2 linked regions of the Sus scrofa genome follow. The protein of the gene in region 2 interacts with the protein of the main gene of each other region in a pairwise test. Links are inferred from orthologs where the notes say so. Each region holds a gene or a part of one and is shown on either strand. Other genes may lie near its edges. The genes, in order: C1H9orf16 and ATP6V1D.

Evidence for each region.
Region 1: the proteins of ATP6V1D (region 2) and C1H9orf16 interact in binary tests that used the Homo sapiens proteins (3 or more experiments, as listed by UniProt). The two-hybrid records come from large-scale screens. The link is inferred for Sus scrofa from reciprocal best matches to the Homo sapiens genes ATP6V1D and BBLN.

Annotation. Positions count from the first base shown.
Region 1 is NC_010443.5:268,614,507-268,619,076, reverse strand, and holds the start of C1H9orf16 (UPF0184 protein C9orf16 homolog), read right to left. Parts: upstream 3,038-4,570; 5' UTR 2,825-3,037; coding exon 2,746-2,824; intron 106-2,745; exon of another isoform or gene 1-105. UniProt on the Homo sapiens protein: Essential for intermediate filament organization in intestinal cells, interacts with intermediate filament and regulates intestinal lumen morphology.
Region 2 is NC_010449.5:91,081,871-91,086,221, reverse strand, and holds the start of ATP6V1D (V-type proton ATPase subunit D), read left to right. Parts: upstream 1-1,313; 5' UTR 1,314-1,527; coding exon 1,528-1,568; intron 1,569-4,351. UniProt on the Homo sapiens protein: Subunit of the V1 complex of vacuolar(H+)-ATPase (V-ATPase), a multisubunit enzyme composed of a peripheral complex (V1) that hydrolyzes ATP and a membrane integral complex (V0) that translocates protons.

The sequences.
Region 1 (4,570 bases), on a different chromosome or scaffold from region 2:
CCTGCCTCTCGAAGGGCTTTGGGCAAGCCCCTGTTTGTTCCTGAGCCTTGGTGTCACCATCTGGAAAATGGGTGGATATCAAAAGAGGAAATGCTTTGGAAAATACTTCAGCCTATCATCGTTTTTTCTAGGGGCGGGGGGCGGGGGTGGGGTTGTCACAGGGAGGTCAGCCAGACAGTGTCCTGCTTGGGAAGTCCTACCAGGTGCCAGGTCTCCTCACCCCTTCCTGCAGCAGCTGCCTAGAGGCCAGAGCCCCTGTTTCTGAGTCAGGCCATCAAAGCCTCTGTCCCTAGGCAGGCCCTACTCTCCAGCCCTTCCTGGCTCCCCCCTGCCCTGAGGATAGGGCTCCCAGCAGACTCCAGGGCCCTGCGCTCTTTTCCTGCCCCGCCTATGCTGCTTCTTCCTTTGCCTCACACCTGCCTTTGCCCACCTCAGGCCCCTTGAACATGCTGTGGCCTCTGCCTGGAATGTGCTGTGTCCTCCTTCTGTCTTCTTTCCCTCCTCTCCTCCTGGGTGAGTCCCACTCATCCTTCAAGTCCTCAGCGTGGATGGTCCACAGGGAGGCCTCCCAGGCCTGGCTGGATCAGGCCTATCTTCCTGTTCCCCTTGCCCACTGACAGCTCCTCGGCCCTCACCTCCGGATCACCTGCTCTGGTGGCGAGCTAACCTGTCTCCCCCATAGACTATAGCGAGCGCTCTGTGAGAGGTGGAATGGCCTTGTGGTCCCTGCTGTCTTCCCCCGTGCTCTCCATGTCACACAGTAAGCATTTGTTGAATGAATGAATGAATGAATGAATGAAGTCCGACTCTCCAGCCTTCCTGCCTTTGCTTAACTGTTCCTGCCACCTGGAATGCCTCAACCACAAGAGCCGTTCAAGGACCAGCTTCCAAATGCCTCCTCTTCCAAGAATCCTTCCCTGGTCTCCACCAGAAACCACCCCTCCCTCCTCCACAGACACACCTGACCTGCCGCTCTCGGCAACACCATGTCCCTTAGGACCCAAGGTCTGGGCCTGTGCCTACTGCGGGACCCAGTTCTGAGCCAGCCTGTGACTCAGATACATTCAGCTGCCAGCTTGGGACAAAGGGGAAGCGGCTGGCAGTGGCTGCACATGGCCAGGGCTGGAGGACAGTGTCTGGGATAAGGGTGCAAATGCGTCCGCCTTCTGGGGGATGGGCGCCCACTGCCCAGCGTTGGCACAGCTCACAGGGGACAGAGTCCTGGAAAGCCTCTGCTGGATCTTAGAGTCCGATCCCCTTGTGGTACAAGTGGGGAGACCAAGGCCCAAGAAAGCAGGGTCTTCCAGCTGGTTGTTGGCAGAGCCAAAGTTCAGGCTTGGGGAGCAGGGACACTTGGGTCTCAGTCCCAGCTCTGGCCTGTCCCAGCAAGTTACTGCACCTTTCTGAAGAAGGGGGGGGGAGACAAGAATTTTCCCAAGGGTTGTTGTGAGCATTCACATGCAGATATCAAGACCCCAGGGTCTGGCCACAGCAAGCGCTTCGTTCAGTATTTCACATTCCGGTTGGGAAACCCAAGAGAGGAAGAAGATGGGGGAGGCAGAAGTCTCCACTTCTGGGGCTCAGCTTCGTCTGTCAAGTGTCAAGGGTGCTTCAAAGTCCCAAGCCTTTGTCTTCCGATGGGGACGCCCTCTCCACCCCCCACTCTGCCATGCACTAAGTCCAGGGAATCTGCCAACTTCCACTCGGTGTGACTCCCAGGAGGTCCTCCCTGATGCTCCCACCACAGCTCCCAGTGCGATTAACCACGCCTGGTGGCTGTCCACCAGCAGTGCCCCCGGCAAACCGGCAGCTTACCACTTACCCCACTTACTCTACCTCTTTATTAAACACAGACCCTGAGAGAGGACGTGTTCTAAAGCTATTGTGGTGATAGGTGCACAGCTCTTTGAATAACCTAAAACCCACCGAATTGTACAATTTAAGTGGCTAGATTGTATAGGATGTGAATTATAACTCAATAAAGCTGTTCCTGAAAACAAACCAAAAGCAGACTCCATACTTAGCCCATGCTTACTGTCCTGCCCTCTAAATTAATAAACTAATTTTTATTACACTGAAGGGAATAATAACCACTTTCAGAACACTTGCGTGCTTGGAACCTGCTAAGTATTTTCCATTCATTTTCTCATTTAATCCTGGCCCATCTCAATGCAGAAGACACTAACCATCATTCTTATTTTGCAGATGGGGAAACGGAGGCTCCAGAAGGTGAGAAGGGAGCTGACGGTTCTCTCTCCACACCCCCACCCCCACCCCCCGCAGTGCTGTGCAGGCAACAGGCGACTTTAGTAAGCAAGTCACATTCGCCAGGGCTCCAAGCCACACCAGCAAAGGGGGCAGGGGATGCTGATTCAGCAAGTTGGCACGCCCACCCAGAGGGTCCACGCCCGGCCCCGCCCCCCCCCAGGAGCCTCGGTCCCCACAAGGACTGAAAGAAGTGGCTGGAACAAATCCCAGTCCCCAAAGAGCGAGGGACCCTGAAGCGGCCTCAGTTTCCCCGTCTGGAAAACGGGGTTTGCCCACGGAAGTTCCCGATTGCTACGATTTCCAGGGACCCGCTGGCAGTGCTCTCCCGGGGCGCCTGCAGCTCCCGACCCACCCTGGGGCGGGGGGATGGGGAAGGCTCTGCAGTCCCTTCCCTGCCCCTATCCCAAGCTCCAATTCCCCTTCTCAGGAGGGCACCCCCGAGAAAGCAAACGTCGCTTCAGCAGCCCTCTGGGTCACCTGCTTCCCCGAAGCCGTCATTCTCGCCTTCCGCGCCCGCCTCCACCGGCATGCCCAGGTCCCCGTTGGGGCCCGACATTGCGGGCTCGGGCGCCGCAAGGACCGCGCGACGATGGAAAGCGGCGACGGTCGCGCAGACAGCCGGCACCAGGCGGAAGGTGGAGGCGGTGAATGGAACTCGGAGCCGGAAGGGTGGAACGCGCCGGAGGAAAGCGCTTGGGTGGCCGGGGCCCCGCCCCCGAGGCCGGAGCCCCGGGGCCCGAGCTCCGCCCTCTCTCCGCCCCACCGCCGGAACTCCGCCCCTGCTCTGCCGCCAGACTCCGCCCCTACGCTCGAGCCCCGCCCCCACCCTGCCTCACAGTCGAGCTCCGCCCACTTCCGCCAGACGTCCTCCGACCCCAGCCCAGGCCCCGGGCCCGCCCCCATCCCGGCCGCCGGGAGAGACCATCCTGGGGCATCCTGCCGAGAATGTCAGGTGGTGCGGGCTTGGCCCTCGGCGAGGGCACGTGAGCCCGACAGAGGAGCAGGGCAGCCTGGGACCCCTACTCCAACCCATACTGCAGCTGAGGACCTGCGGGTAAGCTAGCCAGCGCCTCTGCGTGGGCAAAATCTGAGATGCGTGGTTTCCAGGGCCCCTAATGTATGGAGAAGGTATCCGTTCACAGCCACCTTGAGAGTCATGGTCAGGAGAGTGCAGCTTGTGGCTGTCAGTCCGGGAAGGCTTCCGGATAAAGTCTACCCAGCTGCCATCACACCCTATCCTTTTTACCAGCTGGGAAGGGGAGGCCTGCCCAAAGTCACCCAGCCAGAAAGCGTTGCTCCTGAGCTGGACTCAGAGCCGTGAACCCGTTCAGGGGTGCCCCTGAGTCCGGTCCGCGTCTGGGGAGAGGGGCTCACTTATTGGGGCTCTTGTAGCTGAAGCTGCTAGGAGGCCCCATGGCTGCTACAGCCTGGTCCTGGCCTCACACTGGCGGTTCCTGTGAACAGGCCAGCCTCTAGGTGGGGTCAGGCCCAGACCCCGATGATGACAGCAGGAAGGGATCCTCTCTGTCCCAGAAGCTGCCTTATTGTTTCAACTGAGCAACACGGAGGCACAGTGAGTCCTCCTGTGGTCAGAGCCACCACTGACTTACATAAGGGCAGCCCTGCCTTCCCCTTAACCAGGCTGAGTGGAGGCGACGCCCTCCACGGAGCCAGAGTGGGAAGAATCGCAGTGAACTGCCCCCACCCAAGTCAGCTGACCCTCCTTGATGTTGAGGGGTGGGTACCCTTCCTCCCTCTGTCCCCCTAGTACCCCCTTCCAGCCAAGCCTCTGCTTACTCCCTACCACTTGGGGCTGGATACCTGCCCTCAGCCCCCTCAGAAGATGCTGTGTCCATGGCTGGGGCAGGTGGCAGAGAGCACCCAAGCCATTCCTGGAGAGGGATGAGTCTTGGGCTCCAGAAGGGTCCTGGGAGTGTACCTGGGGAAGCAGGACCTGCGGCTCAGACTTGATCCCTGGCCCAGAAATTCCGTATGCTGTGGGTGCAGCAAAAAAAAAAAAAAAAAATGCTGGCTATCGGTTCTGTGGCCTCTATCCTTTGCTGAAGACCACAAAGGGGGGTCCAAGAGCGATGCTAATGTGAGCCCACCCTCTGCCTGTCCTCCTCCCAGATGGGACAGGGGTCAAGGAGCACAGGCTGGGGGTGGGGGGATATCTTTATTTAGCAGGCAGGGTGGGGCTCCATCAGCAGGGCAGCCCAGGGAGCAGCTGGTGGGCAGTGTCATGAGAAGCATCTCTGGGCCCTCTCCTTCCACGGGGACCCAGGCTGGTGAGGACAGCTGG
Region 2 (4,351 bases):
TAAACCTTTCCTCCACGAAACAATGTTTCTTGTTAAATAAAACTTAAAGTAGTCTAAGTTTGGGGGGGTAATAAAATTCCCTTATCTTTATGTTTTTTTAGTTATGCTTAACCGAAAGATCACAGCGTGTAATTCTACAAGTTTACTTTCATCGATGCTGAAACACGGTAAACCGATACTAAGAGTTATATATAAACTCTTCAACAGTATCTTTTAGTTTCAACTGAAGGGGTGACTCAGTCTACAGAAATGCACCGAGCGATAAAGTGATAGGAGCTTCAATTTTTAAATATAAGTTATCAGAGGAACAAATTATTCTTGGATACTTTTAAACCCAACTCTGTCAACATCATGGCCCAAACCACCGGTTCCTTGAAGCGGCCGGTCTGGTTTCCACTGAGAGGTAGTATTTGCTGGGGCGGACGAAAAAGATGGAATTCTCAGGCCCGGAGAGAGCAAAATGCTCAGCGTCGTGGGGCGGGGGTGTCATAGCGTTCTCCCGAGACGGCCCCACCTCAAGGCACCCCTGTTTTATGTATATTGAAGACGCTGTACAATCACTGGGCCCACTTCCCTTCACGAGATTCCTTCGTTCGTACCTTGACACCACCGCTCGGAGAGACCGACACCCGGCCGGTGGCGACCGCAGTCGCGTCCAGGCACTTCCCGCTCAGGGACGGGAAAAGGAGGTGTTAACCCAGGGCCTACCCTCTACCGAACACCCATGCCATTGGACACAACCAAAGTAAATTCTTCGAGAAACTGATCGGGGAGACTAGTCACCTGAGGTATGTATATGGATCCCGCACTGGGGCCCCGCGCCGCGCTCTTCAATCAGAGAGAACTGACTTGATCCACCCGCAGCAGCCGCCGACTCTCTTCAGCGTGCGCTTCTCTCAACCCTACCGCGCATGCGGAACCACCTCGCAGCACGCAAGCGCCGACAGACTACAGACCGCTCTTCATCACCTACCATAGAGTCTAGGTCCTCCGCGAACAAAGAGGTCTGTGGGCCTTAGGAGGACTTGAAAAGTACATTTTCTCGCCATCTTTAGTTTTCGCTAAGTGACTTTCAAGGCGCAGATAAGAAGTAAGACTCGGATTCCTTGTCCCTAAAGAATAAATTCTCTACGATACTGTCAGTCAACCATGAGGTGGCGCTGTGACCAGAGGTGAATGTGGAGGAGGAGAAGGGGTGTACTCTTCTCTCTCGGTCTTTCGTCTCTTGGGTGTAGAGCCTTGCGCAGCCGCCTGGGAGCTGGAGGGGGAGGGGCTCGGCAGCGTACCGGAATCGAGGGGCGGTTCCGGGGTGCGCGCGCCTCAACATCCGGGCATCGCCTTCTTCCTGTCCCGGCCTTCCTGCACTCCTGTGCCAAGAGAAAGCGGAAGTGAAGAAGAGACACTCCGGCTGCCTCTTAGCAACGCGAAGGGCGTCACGTGACACAACCAGCTGACTCCGGTAGAGAAGGACTCTGTGGCTGCAGCACTTGCCTGGCCTGGGACCGGAGCCGCACGGTCGCCGTCAGAATGTCGGGCAAAGACCGAATTGAAATCTTTCCCTCGCGAATGTAAGTAAAAGAATGGAACGAACACACTTACGGGTTCAGGAACACCGGCCCGGAGCCGCTGTCCGTTCACACCCTGGACCAGCAGCGAGGCACCTTGTTTCCTTGGCCGACTCTGAGCTCTCCTCAGACACTTCGTGAGTCCAGGGCGAAGCTCTTTGGCGGGCCCGCACACATTCCTCTGTTTGAACCGGACTGGGCAGAACGAGCCCAGCCGGTGGAACAGGCGCCCGGCCTGCTGGATTTTATGAAGGCTCATTGACTTTACTCATTAATTGAGCTTTTCACCCCACATTCCTTTATTGAGCCGGGCACTATCCTTACGTACCTATGAGTTTTCGTCACTTGTGCCTTAAGAGAGCTAAAGACAGACAAGCCGAGGAGGTTTGCCGATAATGCTTTGAAAAAGGAAGTTTACTACGATGGGAAGCAGGCTTCTAAGCCAAATTGGGGGTTGAATCCAATCACCGTAACGTGGACGTTAGGTTCGATAGTGGATCCCCTTGCTCCTTTTCCCTTGAAATGTTTGTCGCCTGAGGTGGGAAGCTATCCCAGAATTTCTAAGGCACTCCTTTTGCTCTGTCACCATTGCATCTCATTCAGGCCTGTGTTAATATCACCCATCACGTTGTAAAGTGGATATTGTTTTATGTGTATTTACCACTGAACTACAAGCCCTCTCCAGGATGAGATCTCTTTTATTAATCCATAGAAAGTCCATTAAAAAAATGGTGCCTGAATGAACCCATATTTTGGAATTTGGTCAGTCGTGGGCTTCATTGCCTGAATTCTTTGGCTGGAGAAATAGCATAGCACTCTAGGTGTTTGGCCAGTCTGTAAAGAAAATTTTGAAATTTTCTTAAATGTGCCTAAGAACATGTGGAAAGTAATAATTGTTCTTATTTGTCGTCTTCTCCCCTTTCTCCTCCCCTTCTTCTTCTTTTTTTTTTTTTTTTTTTCTTTCTCTAAGGAGCAGAAAGTCAGTTTTGGTTCTGAGAGATGTTTTGACTGTGGTCCTCTCTTTGGGGGACCTTTTGTTTTTCTTCATTCTGAATTTTTTCTCAGAGAATCTGAGGACTCTTAAATAAGAGTTGTTTTTAAACCCTAAACCTAGTTTTCTGTCTCTGCCTGGGTGGCTACAGCTTTTAATAAAATGAAGGGGGTTTTGTTTGGTTTTTACCTTTACCTGACTTTTCAATAGCTGTTTGTCCTAGATGGACGCAATTCAGTTATGGAGAAAGGTAATGCCTGTGAAATAGTTAATGATCAGGACTACCCTGGGGTTACTGAGGATGGCAGAACGCTCAGCAGTTAAGGACTGATTCAGTCCAAACCTCTGCACGGAGAGACCACCAAACTATTGTGGCTTCTAGCAGCCTAAGCTCTGTTCCCAGGATGACTCTGGCTCCCAGTATAATGCCTGCCTGAGAAAACTCATTGCAGCCACAGCCAGGAGAATTTGCTCTTTGTTTTGTCCCACACCTGAGGATATGCCCTTGAGCGCCCTCCCTTAATTACCTGCTAGCAGACACAGTTGGCCTGATCATCACTTCTGTTTGCCTCCACTCTCAGTCATTTTAAAATGCTTAATCACCTGTGCACAAATTGGAATGGAGCTCAGCTCTTTCCCCTCCTGTCAGTGGTTACTGAAAACATGTGTTTTTACCACTTTAATGACTGGCTGTTTTTAATCTTTGATAGTTATCAGAATGTTAACTTTTTTGTTTGTTTTGGAGATTAAGAGGCAAATACACTTCTTTGGGCTTAGACAAGAAAAATAATAAGTTTGTGAAGGTGAAAATTGCTCTTTGAGAGGATTCAGCTTCCCGATTGAGAGGAAGATCAGGTGGAGGAAATAAATGCTTCTCTGTAAATATTTTCCCCAAGGCATATCAGCAAGTATTTTGTCATGTAGTCAGATGTCTTTGATTCAGCTGGAAACAAAGTCATCATCCTAGCTGAAGGTCAAACATTTTTTGTAAAGCCAAGCAGCTCTGGAGCTTGTAACAGAACAGGTTTTTTTAAGAGCTAGGGTAGAAAACACACTAGGAACATCTGTTTGAGACACTTCCACCTTATGGTGTTATCCTTTGAAATGAGGTTGAAATGAGGCTGTTGTCTAGTTAGGCACCAGAGAGAGCAAAACAAGTTTAGAGTGGAAGCAAAAGAGGCATGAAGGTAGTGAAGTCAACAGAGGTCAGTCATATTCAGGTTCTAGTACATACTGGCTATAAGCCCTTGGGCAAGTCACCCTTGAGGCTCAAAAATTAAAATTTGTTTATTTCACAGAGATGCCACTGCTTAGGAGTAAATTTAAATTGGCATGTTAAACTCAGTTTTAATCAACCAATTCACCTTTTTACTATAAACTTACTGCAGTCTGCAGTACTTGGATTTGACTTAAATTTTTTTTTGTCCTGAACTGAAAAATCTTTATTTATCCCTCATAGTGTAAATATTCTTAAGTTTTACTGCAGAAATGTTAATATGTTTGATTATAGGGTGTAACCAGGCCCCTCAGGGTTATTATTATAGAACATAGTAAATGCATTATACTTTTCTAAAATCAAGCAAAGTCAGAATTCTTTTTTTTTTTTTTTGGCTTAAATTTGATTCAGCTCTTTGAGCCCAAATTCTAATAGTGTCAACAACATAGTATGTTAAGTGTACACATTCGGGTGCAAACCTCCTGCTCAGGCTGGAACCAGCCTCACTCAGTTACATCTCCAGTGAGGCTAATCAGTGCACATTCAACCACTGATAGTATTTCAAAGAGAACTGTTCAA